Linked DNA regions of Drosophila melanogaster. The protein of the gene in region 2 purifies or fractionates together with the protein of the main gene of each other region. This does not show direct contact. Each region holds a gene or a part of one and is shown on either strand. Other genes may lie near its edges.

Region 1 (7,809 bases), on a different chromosome or scaffold from region 2:
AAATATGAATACCAACTAGACTCCAGCAGGATAAAAATAAATCGCTTTAAATTGTTAACCGGCAATTTGTACCAGAATTTGCACATACATACATATGCATATATGTATGTATATATATCCTAACACCGTTTTAGAAGAAAAACTCAAATGGATTGTTTTTAATTTTTATAATAAAACTTATTATTCAGTTAGTGTTGAGTGTCCTTGTTGCAATGCAAAAACAACAGCATACTTTCTTTTTCAATTTTTTTCATTTTTATTAATTTTATACAGACTGTCCATTCATAAACGCACTTATATTGGGACATTTATCTAATTTCTCGGGATCTATTTGGAAAACCTTGGACAAACGTTTCCAACTTTGCGCATCAAAGTAGTAGAAGGTGCCGCGCTCTTTTGTACCATTTTTTTCATATTGATCAATGCCAGGAATTCGAGTTATCCATATTTTCTCCTCCACGTGGTATCGCCACTCGCGACTATGCCTGCGATGGGAGCAGAATTTTAGTATATATGTATGTTCTATATATGTTCATACGAAGCTTAGATAATAGCTACGCAAGAGGAAGTACTCACAATTCAGCAGCTGCCATCAATTGCATCATATCGCCGATGTTCGTGTAAAAAAGGAAAAAGAGCAGGTCTTCTTGCAGCTTTTTCAGTACCGGCGCTGTTAGTTTGTCTCTTATCGCAAAGTTAATCAGATATTCGGGTGGCACGTTGAACTCAACGTCTTGTGCTCTGAAAAAAGTAAATGCAAATCCAATGTTACTAATTTGGTACACCTCTTACTCAATAGTACTCAATAAGCAATTAAATTATGTAAGTTTATTATGTAAACTGACCTGCAGGGCTGTGCTACGAAGGGGCCAGCGAAGGTTGTATGCAAGCTCTCCTGCGAGTTCAGGTTCAGGCCTAAACCCGTGAGATCCGTACCCAAGGAGAGCGTCACCAGATTGGGATCCGTTTCTGCAGCCCGAATGAACGTCAGCAGGCCAACCATGCCGAACTGGTTGTTCACCATGGTCGCTGGTATGTTTGTGACCTTCCCTATTTATGCAAAACGAACGAAAGGTAAATTTGTTACATTTTTAAATAAATAAAATATTTCATGGTACTATTATTTCTGGATAAAATGGGTCAAGGATAGTATAGCTGTTGGGCTTTTGTGATGTACACCGAAATCACCGAATTATAATATGAAACAAATAATAATAGAAACCAAGAAATCCATTGATTAAATGGTATCAATCATCCATAGAGTGTTCAATTCAAAGCTCCAAATGATCAAAAGGTCAAAAATAGCTCTCTCACATGTTGTGAGAAGTGTTCCAGCACTCACCATCTGGCGAAGTTTGCACGCCGCTCTTTACAAGTTTATCGTTGCTGGAATTATCGTTCAGATGCTCGCCGCCCGCTCCGCTCCCAGACGAGCCGCTTCCACTCCCCAGGCCGCCGCCTACGCCCATCATGGCATTGCTGTTGGGTACGCTGTTGACGCCGCCAATGCCGCTGTTACTGCCCACCAGTCCTACATGGGACCCGCCGACAACGCCGCTGGCTGCATTGCCGCCGACTCCTCCGCCTCCTGAGCTACCAGCTCCTCCGCCGCCGCCTACTGCCAAGCCCCCTATACCACTGCCAACGGCACCGAGACCATTGCCGCCTACAACGCCGACGTTGGAACCGCTGCTGCCGCTCGCTGATCCGCTGACCACTATCGAATTCATCGGCTTTTCCGTGCCGTCCAAGTGGTTCTCTGTGGACGCACCTCCGGAGCCTCCTGTTCCGGCGACGCTCCCCACCGCGTTCGTTGTGCCGTCCGAGTTTTGGGTGCCCGGTAACGCAGGGAAGTCCTCGTTAGACATCGTGAACTCCGATTGCTCTGACGTCGGTTGCTTCACCATGCCAACTGAAATCAGAAGAGGAGCGAGATGGTCGCCCAGGGCGAATGAGTGAAGCGAAGAAATTAGTACTAAAGCAGTTTAAGCTCATACAATACACACGATTTTAGTTAATTTCTTTTTCCTCAACCAATTAAAATCAATGAGTAGGTCCAAACAGCATTTGTTCAAGGTTTTAAGACATGTTACTGTGAATTTAAAGTTATCCTTCACCTATATATGAACTTATAAAAGGTTAAGTCGCTTGCTTTATGTGAACAGTTTCTTTTTATTCATTGATCATGTTTCAAAGTAAATGAGATTGCATATAATAATATGTTTGGAGTATAATCCGGAAACACAATTTCATTTCAAACTCTAAATTGCAAAAGCTCTTCATGGAATCAGAAGCCCGTATTCGGTTGGACCAACGTAGCCAAAGTAAATGTCCTTGACTGAATCTAGTTTTTGCAGCGTTTGCCATACCCAAACCAACACCCGAGGTTAGTCCCAAATACAGCGTAGCATATCTAAGTGGGCTTAATGAGCTGATCACGAGACACCACGCTTACAACCGATTCTTAATCGTAGTTTTAAAAACAAAAATAAATAAAAAGAAGTGGATTTTGATTTGAACTCACAAGAGGTAAAGAAATTACCATAGGGTTTGCTGCCCGGCGGCTGGAGCGGATTCGATTGGGGCAGTGTCTGGTCGTTCTGGCCGCGCGCATTCGTCAGCGAGGGGAACTCCGTGGGATCGAGCAGGGCAGGCGTGGAGGTGTCGCTACCACCGCCGCCGCCGAACACGTGGAAGTTATTCAAAGGACCGCCACCGCCTCCGCCCGTTCCGTAGCCGCCGCGACCCGTCTGCATGAAGTTGCCCATGTTCGACTGCGGAAAGAGATAATGATTAGCCAAGTCTTAACAATTTATTTTTAGAATTAGGACTGACATCTCCAACTCAATCTTAATAGAGGGTATATTTTTTATGTAATGTGAAAGCATTTGTAACTTCTGAAATTAATGTATATTCCGTTGTATCAAAAATATTTCCTTTATATAAATCTGATCGATCAGCGATACGATTCTCTGATGCAATCCGAAGTATTGAAGTACTAAACCCACAGTCAATGGATATAGATATTGTTATATGTTTTACTTTGAGTATCTTGGACAAGACCGAGTTGGAGGAGTTAGACTTTGTTGTAATGCCGCGCTGCTTACCATGGGGCCACTGCCCAATCCTTGCATGGCTCGCCGCTCCACAAACTGACGCTGGCCGAAGAGGTTGGCGTTGCGGTTGCCGCTCGAGATGGCGGGTCCGCCGACCGACAGCTGGGCATTCCGGTTCGGCGACAGTTGGGGCTGCTGCTGCTGTTGTTGCTGCTGCTGCGGCGCCTGTCCGTAGTTCGCCGTTCCTGGATAGGAGTTGGCGAAGTCTAAGGCAACAAATGTGAATTGGTGCTCCGTCAAAAGCTTTGGGCGACAAGTGCTTACCGGTTTGAAACATGCCCGACGTGGGCGTCACATGGCCAGCCAGGGAGCTACCACCGAATCCGCCTGTTGTCCGGCCAGCTAACGCCGCGTTCGCTATACTTCTCGGGGGTTGTTGAAAATTTAAATTCGCCATAATCTGCAATGGAAGGGGTTGTCGGTTATTAGGCTGTGGCCTTGCTTTGCTTATCTACCCATAAAGAAAAACCCATATCGTATCCGCGTCGACATCGAAGTATCACTTAAGCAGTAATCACTTAAATGTAATAGTATAGGGATTTCCTTTTGGCAAAAACAAACTAATATATATTTATTTTGGAGATTATTACGCGTTATATAACATTACGGTTAATACGAGCAATTGGGAATATGCTGGATGATTCGCAACATAAATTCTCGAAGCCATCTGCGCAGCAATCAGAGAACTGCTGTCAAATGTCTGAATCAGGGAAACTCTTCGCCCATAAACAAGGGTTTACAATAAAAACTGTGTGATTCAGTGGAGGGGGACTATATTGATAACAAATTGGCTCCCCGCAGATAATTGTCGCACACTAAATGCGAGTATATGCGTATTGAGCAAACAAACCAACAACCTTGTGGGTTAGCAGCCTGGAGCCATATATATGAAAAGGTTATCTTAACGGCAAAATGGGATCCCAAAAAAGGGCCACCATCTATAGTATATCTATAAACAAAATAGCCCGCGCCAAGTGAATCCGTTAAATGGCCGACGCATCAGCTGTCGATTGGCGAAGCGAATTCGGACAGCAAACAGAGCAGAAGGAGAAAAGGAGAGCAAATTGAGAGGCAGAGCAAGGAGGTGGAGAACGAGAAGCATGGGCAGAAAGGCTGTGGCAATTATTGCCGTTCCTCTTTGTCGTGGGCACACTCATGCACAGACCGTGTGGATAAGATGGAGACCAAGACAATGGCGATGGTGTGGGTGAGAAAACCAGAATGACTGCCACCAGGGTGCAAGGGAGTGGGTGGAGAGCGGGGCAATGCAAAAGGATATAAGCCTCAACTTGTCCCTCGATCAATTATGCAGGCAGTGGTCAGTGCAGTGCAAAAGGTGTACAGTAAAAACAGTTAACATTGTAAAATACAAAGCTTTATACCTTATCTCCACTACTGGCCAAACCACTACCGAGTTAGTCGAATTTCGTTTACTTCACTACGAAAGCTCCAGTTAGGTTTTGATGCTGCTTGCTAGTACCATAATATGTAAATAACCCTTCCTATGGTAAAGACCGGCTTTATCTTATCGAAACTTCAACGTGCGCTGAACTCGCCTGGAATGCAAGATATACTAGCACAGGATGCCAGTGCATTTAATTTGAAAGGAGCAAATCTTCCTGGAATACGGGAGCTGTCGATTAAATTGATGTTTTACCTGCACGCATGTAACTTTATCAGCTGACCTAACAGACGCTTCCCAACACTGGCGACCGCGCTTACAACAAAATTCAATGGCTAGCGTTAACTCTGGGGACAAGTGTTTAACCAACCATTTAACCTCGGGCGATTCAGCAAGTACAAAATAAGAACGACGGATCCGAAAGGAGGAATGCGCGCAACTTACCTAAATTAACGTTAGACGATACTGTCGCTTCTTGTTCTTCCACTGTTAACGCTCGCTTTCCACTCTGTCCAGCAACAACAACATACACTGATCGAATCGTTCTCACCGCATTTAACATTCCAAAGCGGCCGGCGGGACGAGGACGTAGGAGTCGTTGTCCTGGCGCCGTAACCGTAACTGTGACGGATCACGGATCGGCGAATCAGCAGGAATATGAAAGTCCGCTAACTCCCACTGGGCAGCTGTTGGTTAGCTGTGGGTGTCTCGGTCACTAGCACTCACTCGCTGGAAGCTGAAAGGATGCAACGGAGAAACGGGAGCTGGAACCGTAGCGGGTGTAGGAGCGGGAACGAGGTTAGTTAGTACTTTTCCGCGCCGAGTCGTCCCTAAATAAATGGCATATATACCGCTGTGCGTGTGTGCATATGTATATGTGCCTCGTCTGTATGCAGCGTGGTCTTCGTGCCGAAGAGACAGCGAGCGAGAGAGAGAGAGAGAGGAGAGGAGAGTCGAAGGATGTTGATGCCTGGCGGAGGCTAAAAGTTGTCCGTTTTTTCTGCGCCGCTCTTGCGACCACTGTAGTTTCTATATTCACGCTTATGCAAATGTCGCGCACGTTACACTCGGCCGATTGGATTGGCCAGGGCTCTCGCTTTTTGTTAATGTTTCCGTTTTGTATTTTATTTGTAAGTAAATAATCGCTCGCTATTGCGCTGTTGTCTCTGCTTCTTACTACACTGCTGCACAAGCACTGTGTCTGTGACCCTGTGCGTGTGTTTGTGTGTGTGTCTGTCTTTGTTTTCTCAGTTCATTGAAATTTCACCCGAAGCAGCGAATTGGGCAAATTCCCTGCTAGATTTGCGCGTCTTTTACGCCGCCGACCCGCAAATGCACTCGAACTTAATGGAGCCGGGTCCTTACGATCCACTATCGAGGGGCAGTAAACAATTCTTTAGCGCCCGAAATGGCTTTAAATTGTACACAAAAAATGTTCCGCAAAAAACTTTGTGGCTGTCACGAATACAAACACACAAGAATTAGGGATGTAAAAATCTGCTATCGAGACAGCGTTGGTATCGATAGTAGTTAGTTTGCAACGAGAGGGTTTGGTGCATTGATTACTGTATATTTCAAAGAATATTCGAATTGTTTTCTTTAAAGACAACAATTTTATTCGCCTTTGCGATTGGTAAAATAGTTGTTTACTTTTAATCGATAGACAAAAACAGTTATTGGGCTGCCATCTGGGGCGTCTATGCGAAGACCTCTTTGCGTATTTCAGTTATCGATTACTGTGACAGTGCCTAGACCTCCTAAACTCAACTTTATTGCCCGGCCGCGAATTGTCTTGATTGCAGATTTTCCGATTTTAAACAAAATTTACTTGGCATTATGGGCAGCCAAAACTCGGACGACGACAGTGGTGAGTGGCTAATGGCTAAGTCCAGGCCTGAGTAACTAATATTTACACTGTTCACATATGTATGTAGGTTCATCCGGTTCGAGTCGAAGTGGAAGCCGCAGTGTCACGCCGCAAGGAGGTAGTGCGCCCGGGTAACTATTTGATATTCAAACACGGCGGCGGGAGAGTGCTGATTACCTTCCCCTCGTTTTCCAGATCCCAACGCAGTCGCAGGTCGGGTAGTGGCAGCGATCGTTCCCGATCGGGCTCCAGGTCTTCCCGATCCCGGTCCGGCTCTGGGTCTCCGCGTAGTGCCAGGTCCGGGTCTGCAGAAAGCCGCCACTCGCAGCTGTCTGGCTCCGCTCGTAGTAAGAGATCAAGATCTGCTCACAGTCGCAGGTCGGGATCTGCGCGTAGCCGTAAATCTGGAACTCCGGAATCTCCACAAAGTCACAGATCAGGTTCGTTGCAAAGTCGCAAGTCAGGATCGCCTCAGAGTCGTAGATCTGGTTCTCCCCAAAGTCGCAAATCGGGATCTACTCACAGCCGCAGATCCGGTTCGGCCCACAGTCGCAGATCGGGATCCGCTCGGAGTCGCAAATCTGGTTCGGCACAAAGTGACCGCTCTGAGTCTCGATCGAGGTCTCATAGCGGTTCACTCAAGGGCAACGAGGAATCGCGGTCTAATTCGCCCAATCTGCAAATTGACGTAGAGCGTGCCAATTCCAAGAGCGGCAGTCGCAGCAGAAGTAGGAGCAGGAGTGGCAGTCGCACTTCCAGATCGCGTTCCAAGACGGGCACGCCGTCGCCCAATAGAAGTCGTAGTGGCAGCGCATCCGGCTCCGGCAGCGATGTGGGTGTGCCCAAGAAGAAGGCACGCAAGGCGAGTGGCTCCGATCAAGAGAAGAAAAAGAGCGGCAGCGATAGCGACATTGAGGAATCGCCCACCAAAGCTAAGAAGTCACGGCTGATCGACACTGATAGCGATTCCAATCAGGATGTGGTAAGGCACACCACTCTGAACTACTCAACTATATTGTTATTTATCTAGTTCTATAATTAAGGAAAAATTACCCTGATATATGTACATTTCAATTATGCAGGGAAAGAAAGCTCCGGCTGCAGCTGACATATTTGGAGATGCCGATGATATAAGTGACGATGAGGATGAGGCTGGACCAGCTGCCAGAAAATCCCCAGTGCGCTCCAAGAGCCGCAGTCAAAGCAAGTCCCACTCCCACAGTCGTTCTATGAGCCACTCGCGTTCCCGCTCCAGATCGCGATCCCGGGATAAAGTCGAGAGCCAAGTAGAATCGGCGCCCAAGGAGGATGAGCCTGAACCGCTTCCGGAGACCCGAATCGATGTGGAGATTCCGCGCATCTCTGCAGACCTGGGAAAAGAGCAGCACTTTATCAAGCTTCCCAACTTTTTGTCAGTGGTCACG
Region 2 (4,930 bases):
TTGATTTACGCGTAAATAGATGCCGCCTGCAATGTAGAGCTGCTGATGGCCCCTTTTATACGGGGGCCGCGGCCAATGAATCTACAGACCCAAAAAAGAACAAAAAAAAACCAAGGAAGGCAGAGACAAAAACAAATTGCGCCGTAGGTGAAATGAAAAGCGCCAAGAAGCAACAGCGAATACGTCAAATATCTCTAATCTCCAATACCAGTGCACGCTAAACGTGTGTGCTGAACAAAAAATTCTGGTGGCCTCCAACAAAAACAACAGCAACAAGAAACATCCGCTGAGGAATTGACAACTGATACGTAGAATTATGAACGTAGAGAGCCAACTGAAGACACCGCCAACGCACATTCGAAATCTGGTCAAGCACGTGAACAAGCGAAATTTTAATGAGAGCAGCGAGCAAATAAATCAGGTAGGTGCCCAAGTTATTCTACCAAAGTTTCCATGAACCATTTCCAATTCATTTTGTCAACAATAACAACAACATTTTGTAGGGGGCGGGGGTTTAGTGTTGCCAAACCGACAACATATCGCACCTGGCCAACCAGAGTTGCCAATTGTTCGCACTCACGAATGGGCTATTGCCATTTCACTCGCTCGTGCATTTTTGCCGACGCCATTACAGTTTTTTGGTAAAGGCAGCTGAAAAAATTTCTCTGCACGGCGTTGCGCGTTTTGTGAGCGTTTTGTTTAAGCTAAAAGTTTTATAGAATGTGTAAAACCAGGCCAATTGTGTGCGCTTAGCCACAAACGTGTTTCGTGAGTTGATGGCAGTGTGAATTTTGCAGCGTAGTAGTGCGAAATCGAATTGCGAAATTCGAATTGGGAAGCCCAAGCCAAGCGCAGGGCTTTTCGGCCCCGAAACTTCTGTTTTTTCATTGCCAAACGAGAGAAACCAAATTGAATAGTAAGTTCGTGGGACAAATTGCGTGGGAATATCAATTGCGGCCGCTTTCTTTTCGCTAGAGTTGCAATATGTCGCACTTTTTCCTGTGACCCCCTTCCTTTCGCGCACCGTCATGCTCTCTTCTCTCCTTACCCATGTAACGTTTCGCCAACGTGTGCGAGCGAGAGGGCGCGTGTGTAATTTGTTGTGGAGCAGCTGCGACGGCGGGGCCAAAGCTGTTGTCTCGCTCCCCCGTTCGGAGTGAGGCCTTGATTCCGGACTCCGAGCTCCGGATCAAATATTTCAACAGTTTTGGATCCGTAGGGAGGGAGGGGGATATCTAGCCTCCTAGAAAAGTTTTGCCATTCAAATTAGTATCATAACAAATACTTGGCTTAGAATGGCACCATTTGCCCAACAATCCCCTAAAAAGTAATCGTTTGTGGGACAAACTATGCTACAGATCCCGTTTTCTTGACAGTAAATGGCATATTCCTCAAAAATTAAAAAAAATGATAAAAAAAAATGATAACAAAACAGAGTCATATACTTCAGTATTTTGAAATTCTCAACAATCTATATCTGCCATTTAAAAAGCCTGATAAGTTTTCAAGTTATTCGAACTCAGTAGGATTACCAAATTTTCACTGATATTCAATGTTGGAATGAAGTACTAGGATAACCCAACGGAATTTATAGTAAGAAAGGTCTAGGAATTTGTTGGATTCCATGGAGAAATTATCGGATAGAAAATACATTAACTAACTTAACGATAGCCCAATTTGAGATATAGTCTTCCATTTAGTTATAGCATTCAAGATAATCTCAGAAACCTGTGAGCCCAACAATGGTGCACCTAAACTGGAATTCCCAATGATAAAATTCATGTTTTAACCCTCTGGTTGCGCTTTTAAAAAGCCAATTGGGTAAAGTTTTTAAGCGGGCAAGAAATAATGACTTAATGGATTTACTTTTGAAAACAGTTGCCTGGAGTTAGAAATAATCCCTCCAAAATGTTACTTTACATCTTGCCCTGTATCCGTAAACACATATCCAATTGTACAGAGAAAAGTTGAGACACTCACAGAACATAATAGAACCTGTCAAAATTTCCAAGTTTGCGATGAAAATCACATAAAAAAAAATCCCGGTCACCGCAGAATCTGAGGAATCGTTTGAAACATACACTGTCCCTTATACAGTGATATGTGTCCCAGATTGCGGGCAGTCGCTGTCAAGGCACTTATATTGGCTTCCAAACCCTACGCAATGCAGCTCTTTGATTCTAAACCATACATTACTGATAGCATTTACGACATCTTGCAGTTCGTTAAAGAGCACGGCCTGGAAGCGGATCGCAGCAGCCTGCGCCACCTGTTCTCCGTGATCAACTTCAGCGATCTCGTGCCATCAGTTACGGTCCAGCTGCAGGCGAAGCTCCTGGGCATCCAGTTGGAGCGTCAGCTTCACAGTTCATCGTTTGTGTCCAACATCTGCTACGCTTTTGACCAGTTCTTCGCCAGCAACCAGAAGGTAAGTTGAGTTTACAATGCCCACAATGTGTTGATTACTTATGGATACTCATTCCTAAGCAGTCCCTGAAGCCTGTTGCGGTAGCGGATCTCGTTGGCCAGGTCGCCCGACTGACCGGCATCAACAAGGTTTGTGAGTGCGTCTTTGCCTTGGCCTTGACCCACTCCTCGTACACAGAACTCAAACATTCTGCCAGGAACAACCTAAAAGGTAGCCTCAGCGAACTTATAGACTCTTACTTGGGTAATAAAGGCACCGGCCCAGCCGACAGCGGTCTCCGGGAGATCTCCTTCGATCTACTGCAGTATTTGTTGTGCTGCCTTAGCGAGTACGTACAACCGCAGGTGGAAGCACAGTTTTTGATCAAGCTTCGTGAGGAGTTTCCGCGCCAGGCGGTACCGCTGGTTCTAGCGCCGTTCCTTTACGGCTCGACGACGGCGACGATTGCGGGAGCAGGTGCCAGCGAAACGGATGCGGAGGCCGAAGCGACGACTAATAGCAACAGCTCCAGTTTCGAAGCAGATGCTTTGAACGAGGTGGGAATCGAGGATATTTATGACCATTTAAGCGAGATAATATTCACCAACCAGGTGCGTAAGACACTCATTGAAAAAGACAATTCGCTAATTGAATGTTGTGTTGCAGGGCAAAAATAATATTATGGACACATCTTGGATTAATCTAATCCTTGAAATCGGTTATGAATTTACATCGAGCGTTGAAGAGTGTAAGAATCATTTGTGTTCCCGCGAGCGAGAACGCGCTGAGCTCCAGTCCAAAGATGTCGCCAAGATCGTGGGTCTTATGTGCCGACGGCACTCCTCCCTGCTCGATTGTAATGTGAATCTACCGACGCCGGCGAACTTCTGGCCTGGTCAGGGACAGGGCGGTGGCAGCAACAGCAGTGGCTCTTCGCAGACACAAATCACTCCGCAGCAACAGAACCCGGGCAGCAGTAACAACAACGATGGCAGCGATGGCAATTCGTCCAGTGATAAGAAGGACAAGAAGGAGACGACGGAGGCCACGCAAACTTGGAAGCCAGATGTCTTTGTGCAGGCGCTCAAGGAGGTGGTGCCTCAGCTCAACTGGAAGGACGTGTGCATGGGTAATAGCTAGATAATTGCTTCGCAATCGCCAATCTATAGGAATATCATTCTTAATTTTTAGAACTTGATCATCCCGAGTTCGTGCTGAAGGATCGCATCGGTTTGGAGCTTTTGCTCACCATCCTTCGGCTGGCCACTGGCTCTAACATATTTCCACATCCAGAATGCATTTACCGTCACTGGGCAAACACGGAAGGTCAGCTGTCGCTTATCGCGACAATGCTGAAGAACCCGGATCTCTTTTCCTTCGCCGACTTTGTATTTAGCCAGCCAGCGTTGGATGTGCTTAAGACGGCTCCGGATGCGGACAATAAGGAGATCTCGTCCTGGAAGTCGCTTCACCTGGTGGAGGTGCTGCTCTCCATTGCGGACAAGGGATACTATACGCAGGTCCATGAGCTATTCAAGTTCCCAGCGCAGAACTGTCCCGATGTGCTATTTTTGGCCTTATTGAACACAAGTCCGCCTATGACGCCACTGCGTCAGGATCTGTTTAACCAACTGATACCAACGTTCCTTGGCAACCATCCCAACTCGAACGTGATCTTGGCCAGCGCCTGGAGCTCGAACAACTTCCAACTTCGTTCCAATATCATGAATGCTATGTCCGAGTGGTATCTCCGAGGCAATGAGTTCGATCAGGTGAAACTGTCGCGCATCCTGGATCTTGCCCAGGATTTAAAAGCGCTATCAGCGCTGCTCAACGCCCGTTCATTTTTATTCATTATCGACCTGGCTTGCCTTGCCTCTCGGCGCGAGTACCTGAAGCTGGAAAAGTGGCTTACCGATAAAATTCGCGAACATGGAGAGCCTTTTATGCAGGCTATAATCAAGGTTCTGCACCGCCGCTGCCCGCAGGTTATCAACGCAAAAGTGCCAGAGGATCAGCTGCCTCCCAAGCAGGCGCAGCTTTTGCCCGAGACAGTTACCACCATGATCAACTGTCTGCAAACGTGCATCAATAACTGCATGCAGCCGGAGATGGTCGAAGTCATCATGCAAATGACCGCGAACGTGGCGATTATGGCTAACAAGGCGCGTGCCCAACAGCAGCAGCAGCCAGGATTGGTTCCGCCGCCTCCACCAACAATTCTGCGCGGCCATCGTGGTATGGATCTGCCTGGAGGCATAGTCCCTCCGCCACCGCAGCAACCGTTCTCCGGAAACCTCAACGCGCAGATGTTTGGACCAGGAATGGATCCGCTAACGAATATGTCCAACAACTTAGCCGGCCTCAACCTCAGCGGCCCGAACGGAGCATTTAATTTTGGAAACATGCTAAGTAAGTGGCATTCATAGGCAATGAGTGCATAATCTATCACAGATGCCTCTTAATCCTATCTAACGAAATTCTACGTGCAATTTCAGCTTCTCCATCGCGTCTGATGACTCC
Region 3 (5,369 bases), on a different chromosome or scaffold from region 2:
TCGGTTCGAATTCTTCTAGAATTCTAGAAAGAACGGAGAGCTCTGGGGAAGATCAATTCGGTTCGGTTGCTGGCCAGAGACTGAAAAACGATCGCGTGAACGAAGAATTCCTGATCAGTGATCACACGACCACCTCAATTAGCTGAACAACTGGCGAAGTTGAAAGTATTGGTTCGGGTCGCCTAAAACGTGATCAAATTGCTCGACCGAAGGCACGAGATACAATGTGCACTTTAATTGAATTTCGCTTTGTTTACAAACTATTCTTTTCAATTTAGAGCCAATAATTATGGCGAAATTGTTTGTTTGTTATGTCATTTGCAAACGCCACAATGGCAAATATTGCCAATCGCTTGTGGAAAGAATGGCGAGTTTAGAATTGCTATTAGTTCCACAAAGCAATGATAATGCGATTTATACAATCGACAGTCAACAATTTAACAGCGTTTAGTGAACTATTAGGTAGCATTGTGAAATAAGTAATGAATATAATGTATCTTAAAATAATCAGACCGATTAGAGCGACTAGAATGATTTTCTAAAAACGCCTATAAAGGGGAGGTTTAAATGGAACGTTCTTGTTGGATCGGTTTGTAAATATTTAAATATAAAATAGAAACTAAATAAATTTGACATTTTTGCAACACAATCTAGAAAGTTTCCTTCCTTGTAGGTAAACTATTGAATTCCAGAGGTCAGATAAGAAGAAAAGCCCTTATCAGTACGGAAACGTGTAGTTCAAGTGGTTTTATCAGCATTTTGTAACCGGATTGAGCATAAAAATGCGAAACGTGCGAAAAGTTTATTAACCCTTTGAAGAAACTGGAGAAATCCGTTCTTTGAGGGTCCACGAAACCAAAATAATTGGAGAGATCAGTCGTTATGTACCGATGTACGTACATGTATGTATGTATGTATAAACATAATTGCCGATTGTTGACAGACGGCGAGCTTTATTTATCTTATTTGCTTTCTTTTTTTAATTTGGCATGTGTGAAAAAACTAGTTTTGCACTGTATTGGTATAAACGTAAACAAACTGAGAAAACAGTTGATTCAATTGTTTGTTTATTTATAACGCGAGCCAATTCCTCAAGAATTTGCAACAACAAATGGGTCAAGTTAAAAGGAAAGTGGGACAGACGTAAAAAGAAAAACCACAAATCCAGTAACATTTCTTACTTGATTATTATGATCTATATTTTTGTATCAACTTTTAACACTTAACATTAAAGTTAAAAAATCACAAAGCTACCACTTCTACCGGTGAAATTGAAATAAATATATTTGTTTGACTGTCAGCGAACAGCTGAAAGTCTAGTGTTGCCATCGCTCACCAACTTTCATAGTTTCCCTGGCGCCCTCTAGGCGGCTGCTATAGCGAGTCAAAGGCAGGGCTTGGCAGCACTTAAGTGGCTGAGTGCCTAATATTTAAATACAACAAAACCCATTTTTTTTTGTTAATTTAGATTTCTAATTACTATGCTTATGAACAGAAACTAAAAATTCAAAAGATGGGCACCACTAAAGTCGCCAAACTATCGATATTTGTAGCAATTACACGTTTTCCAGCACTTGAATCGAAGAGCGAACGTTTACCCTCACTGCCGCAATCGCGAACAATTTTTTATTATGGCACTTGCGCGGCTCACAAACGATATTCGCTGATAAACATTCATTGGAAATTATTGCCGAACGCAGAGGACTCCGCCAATTGAAGTGTGCGCTTAAAACGATCGCCGTGCAGGAAGCGGAAGTGCCCCATAACAGCTATTTTCTCGCCGCTTTCTCCCCCATCACCCCCCCGCAAAACAAGCGACGCCGATAGAAACATTTAATTTGTGCAAATAGCCGAAACCTACACGGTCGGCCATCAAATATTATGAAATGGGTAAGCTGCGAGGGTAACCACGAGTGGGTCCATTTCCACAGCCTTGCGTTTCCACGGCGCAAATCGAAAACGAACTGCAATTGCAAATGCATCTTCAATGCCGCTGCAAGTGTGTGTGTGTGTGTGTGTGCGGTGTGATGTGAGCGTGTGTGCGAGTGTGTGCAGTTTTCTTAGGGCGTTTTAACTGTTATTTATTTTCGGTTTCTTCATTTTCCGCAAATAGTCACTTTTTCGTGTTTGTCTGATTTCCCCCCCCCCCCCCCCCAGCCTGCACTATGAATCCGATTTCGAAATGGATTGAAATTCACACCCTCAAATCTTCAGTGTCACTTGCAAATGCTCAAAAACGTATGGAAATTTCTGACTTGCTATGATGTGACTTAAAATCATATTTTTATGTTAAACGCCCTTATATTCATAATTGGTAAAGCATACCAAATCTTAATTAATACAACATATAAAGGGTAGAGCAGCGATTGAGAACTTTTCTGCATATTTCAAAACCTTAAATATAACCTGTGTACAATGAGGGAAATGTTTCTCACACTGTAGTTAGAAATTAAGTCATGTTAATGCTGTCTAATTGCAGCATCAGCTTTAAATAACTTGCCCAGTGTTATCTGAAGGTGTGTTAATGCATGCGATACATCATAGGTGCAATAGGTATAATCCTGTAAAGGCAGATTGAATTATTATTCCGATACCCCTGCATTCGATCAGGAGCATTGATCCCCCGAATCAGAGCTTAAGACCACACATCCAGGTGGAACTTGTTGCTTGAGGCTTGGTTGTAGGTCAGTGCGAAGAGGTGGCTGATCCGGCGGCGAAGGGTGCGCACCAGGCGACGTCCGGCGACGATGTAAGTAGCGGCCATCGTAAACCCAATCACTCCAGTAACCACCTCCAAGCAAATTTCCAAAAAATCGTTACCTTCACTTGCCTTGTTTCGATATGATTTTATTTTATGTTGTTTCCTCGTATCAGCAGCAAAATTCGTGCACTTCTAACATCGATATTGGCCAATCTTCAATTGTGAACCTCCTGTTTAGTTGCGCTATCGTGCTTAACCAATTGGACCAGCTATTTTATTATGTTGCTAACTCTTACCTCCACATAAATACACAAAAACACAAGACACTGGGATTAGTCCTTATCTATGGAAATATTCGATATCGGTAACCTTACACTGATGTTTAAACAAATTCGAAAACTGAGCACCATAAACAACAATTAGTAAACCATCATTATAAACAAAGGTTTCATAATGTTTGTAAAACGTTCTTCAGTTTGTTTGTGCCTTATAAATCTGCATTGTGGAGCATTTACTATGCTTCATAAAATGATAGGACTTGATCAACTAATCATAGCATTGATGGCGAAAACTAATATTTCACATCTTAAATTAGGACTAAACAAACACAAACATATACACACTTATACACTGAAATATGTATACATTACAAGTAGTTTGACCCACAACCAATACTTTTCCCAGACAATGCCCTCGGCCATCAGTGGCGCGCCACATGCCCACATACCCAGCAACGAGGAGTGCGGCATCCGCGATGTGTGGAAGCAAAACCTGGAGGAGGAGTTCCGCACCATACGGAAAGTGGTGCAGAAGTACCACTATGTGGCCATGGACACCGAGTTTCCAGGCGTGGTAGCACGTCCAGTCGGCGAGTTCCGCTCCACGGCGGACTATCATTACCAGCTGCTGCGCTGTAATGTCGATCTGCTGCGGATTATCCAATTGGGCCTTACCTTCATGGACGACGATGGAAAGACACCACCCGGCTACTCCACCTGGCAGTTCAACTTCAAGTTTAACCTGAGGTAAAAGTGTTTTGTTTATGCTCTAATGGGGGGTCCTATATTATCGTTTGTTTCCCTAGCGAGGACATGTATGCGCAGGACTCGATCGATCTGCTGCAGAACTCCGGAATTCAGTTCAAGAAGCACGAGGAGGATGGCATCGATCCCATCGACTTCGCCGAACTGCTGATGAGCTCTGGCATCGTGCTGGTGGAAAACATCAAGTGGCTGTGCTTCCACTCCGGCTACGATTTTGGCTACCTTCTAAAGCTGCTCACCGATCAGAACCTGCCCCCGGACGAATCTGAATTTTTCGATCTGCTGCACATCTACTTTCCCAACATCTTCGACATCAAGTATCTGATGAAGTCGTGCAAGAACCTGAAAGGCGGCCTGCAGGAGGTTGCCGATCAGCTGGAACTGCGGCGCGTGGGCCCCCAGCATCAGGCCGGCTCGGATGCTCTGCTGACGGGCATGGCCTTCTTCAAAATGCGTGAGGTACAGCACACAAATGATTTCCACATTACACCGGTGGCGCACGATGTACTCTTTCGCTATCTGCTTGAGCACACCATGAACTTAAAGCCGACGATCAGCTGCATCCATCTGCTGAGCCGTCCGGCATACAATGGGGGCCCTGCCCCCGACGAATCTGCGATAATCAGCAGTGGCAACGGCACAGGCAACACCAACTCCACCGAGCAGTTCACCTCGAGCGCCTACATGGTTACACCTCCTAATACGCCCGGCATGGCCAAGAGCGATGCCGCATCGCTGTCCAATCGCCATACGTCTATTTCGAATAGCTTCGGATGATTAGACAGCTCGCTCGCTGGTGTTGCCGTGCACTTGCCACTGCTAACGTAACGTGCCTCCGCCCATCATAATCATTATTCCTTAGGTTTAAGGTTTTTCATGGTTGTCATAACGCATTTTCATACATAACTCATCTATGTACTTAGTTTTTTGTGACCTGCACAATTTACAGAGCCAGTGACCCAGAATTTATGAATGAAATCCATAATTTGAAGTGTTCTTAGTAGTTAGTTTGGAGCTGTTAAACCCATGTGAAACATGTTTATTTAGCTGTAATGCCCGCGATACGAATTGAAATGAGAAACGCGCTGGATTCGAATGGAAAATTAAATGAATTGGAATTAATTTTCTTTAAATGTTTATTTGCATTCTTTGGTGTTTGGGCATGGCATATGCATATCATAGCTTGCTTGATTTCATATGACATCTTTTTAATTGTATTGATGTTCATTTTAATTTATGTTAAGTTCACGCTCTTCATTTATATCGAATTAACAAATTATTCTTTTGTAATTTTAAGCGCTTTGCTGACATATGTTTCCACACGGTTTACTGTGTGTATCAGCGTACCAAGACCTTTATCTTCTAGAGAACTGCCGAATAGTTTTGAAATAACAAGAACATTGCAGAATAAATCCCATCCCATACTAACATTCATTAAATATGAAATTTACTAATATTGAAACCTCGTCCAATCACATCGGTTCTGCGGTATGTAACAAATCCTATCTACAAGTAGGACCCACCCATCTACTTGGGATTACTTTCTAAGACTTTGCTGCCGTAGAAATATGTGTGCTTTATACGCTTTGTAGCTCCCAACTAAAGTTGCTCGCATTGATACATCC

Evidence for each region. Proteins that work in one complex are often made in the same cells at the same time.
Region 1: the proteins of Not1 (region 2) and Rga purify together in Drosophila melanogaster (affinity purification with western blotting; 4 studies listed by BioGRID, with this or other methods). This does not show direct contact.
Region 3: the proteins of Not1 (region 2) and Pop2 purify together in Drosophila melanogaster (affinity purification with western blotting; 4 studies listed by BioGRID, with this or other methods). This does not show direct contact.

Annotation. Positions count from the first base shown.
Region 1 is NT_033777.3:5,607,108-5,614,916, forward strand, and holds Rga (regena), read right to left. Parts: upstream 6,006-7,809; 5' UTR 4,963-6,005; intron 3,517-4,962; 5' UTR 3,514-3,516; coding exon 3,381-3,513; intron 3,323-3,380; coding exon 3,108-3,322; intron 2,775-3,107; coding exon 2,525-2,774; exon of another isoform or gene 1,913-2,524; coding exon 1,343-1,912; exon of another isoform or gene 1,146-1,342; intron 1,075-1,145; exon of another isoform or gene 1,051-1,074; coding exon 846-1,050; intron 780-845; exon of another isoform or gene 742-779; coding exon 577-741; intron 486-576; coding exon 266-485; 3' UTR 168-265; downstream 1-167. Other genes in the region: Atu (another transcription unit), read left to right, coding at 6,355-6,385, 6,453-6,516, 6,581-7,367, 7,468-7,809. UniProt on the Drosophila melanogaster protein: Component of the CCR4-NOT complex which is one of the major cellular mRNA deadenylases and is linked to various cellular processes including bulk mRNA degradation, miRNA-mediated repression, translational repression during translational initiation and general transcription regulation.
Region 2 is NT_033778.4:9,573,676-9,578,605, reverse strand, and holds the start of Not1 (Not1), read left to right. Parts: upstream 1-1,910; 5' UTR 1,911-2,101; coding exon 2,102-2,428; intron 2,429-2,487; coding exon 2,488-3,018; intron 3,019-3,073; coding exon 3,074-3,536; intron 3,537-3,598; coding exon 3,599-4,819; intron 4,820-4,905; coding exon 4,906-4,930.
Region 3 is NT_037436.4:11,999,107-12,004,475, reverse strand, and holds Pop2 (Pop2), read left to right. Parts: upstream 1-1,560; 5' UTR 1,561-1,881; coding exon 1,882-1,890; intron 1,891-2,544; exon of another isoform or gene 2,545-2,749; intron 2,750-3,274; exon of another isoform or gene 3,275-3,385; coding exon 3,386-3,726; intron 3,727-3,785; coding exon 3,786-4,521; 3' UTR 4,522-4,864; downstream 4,865-5,369.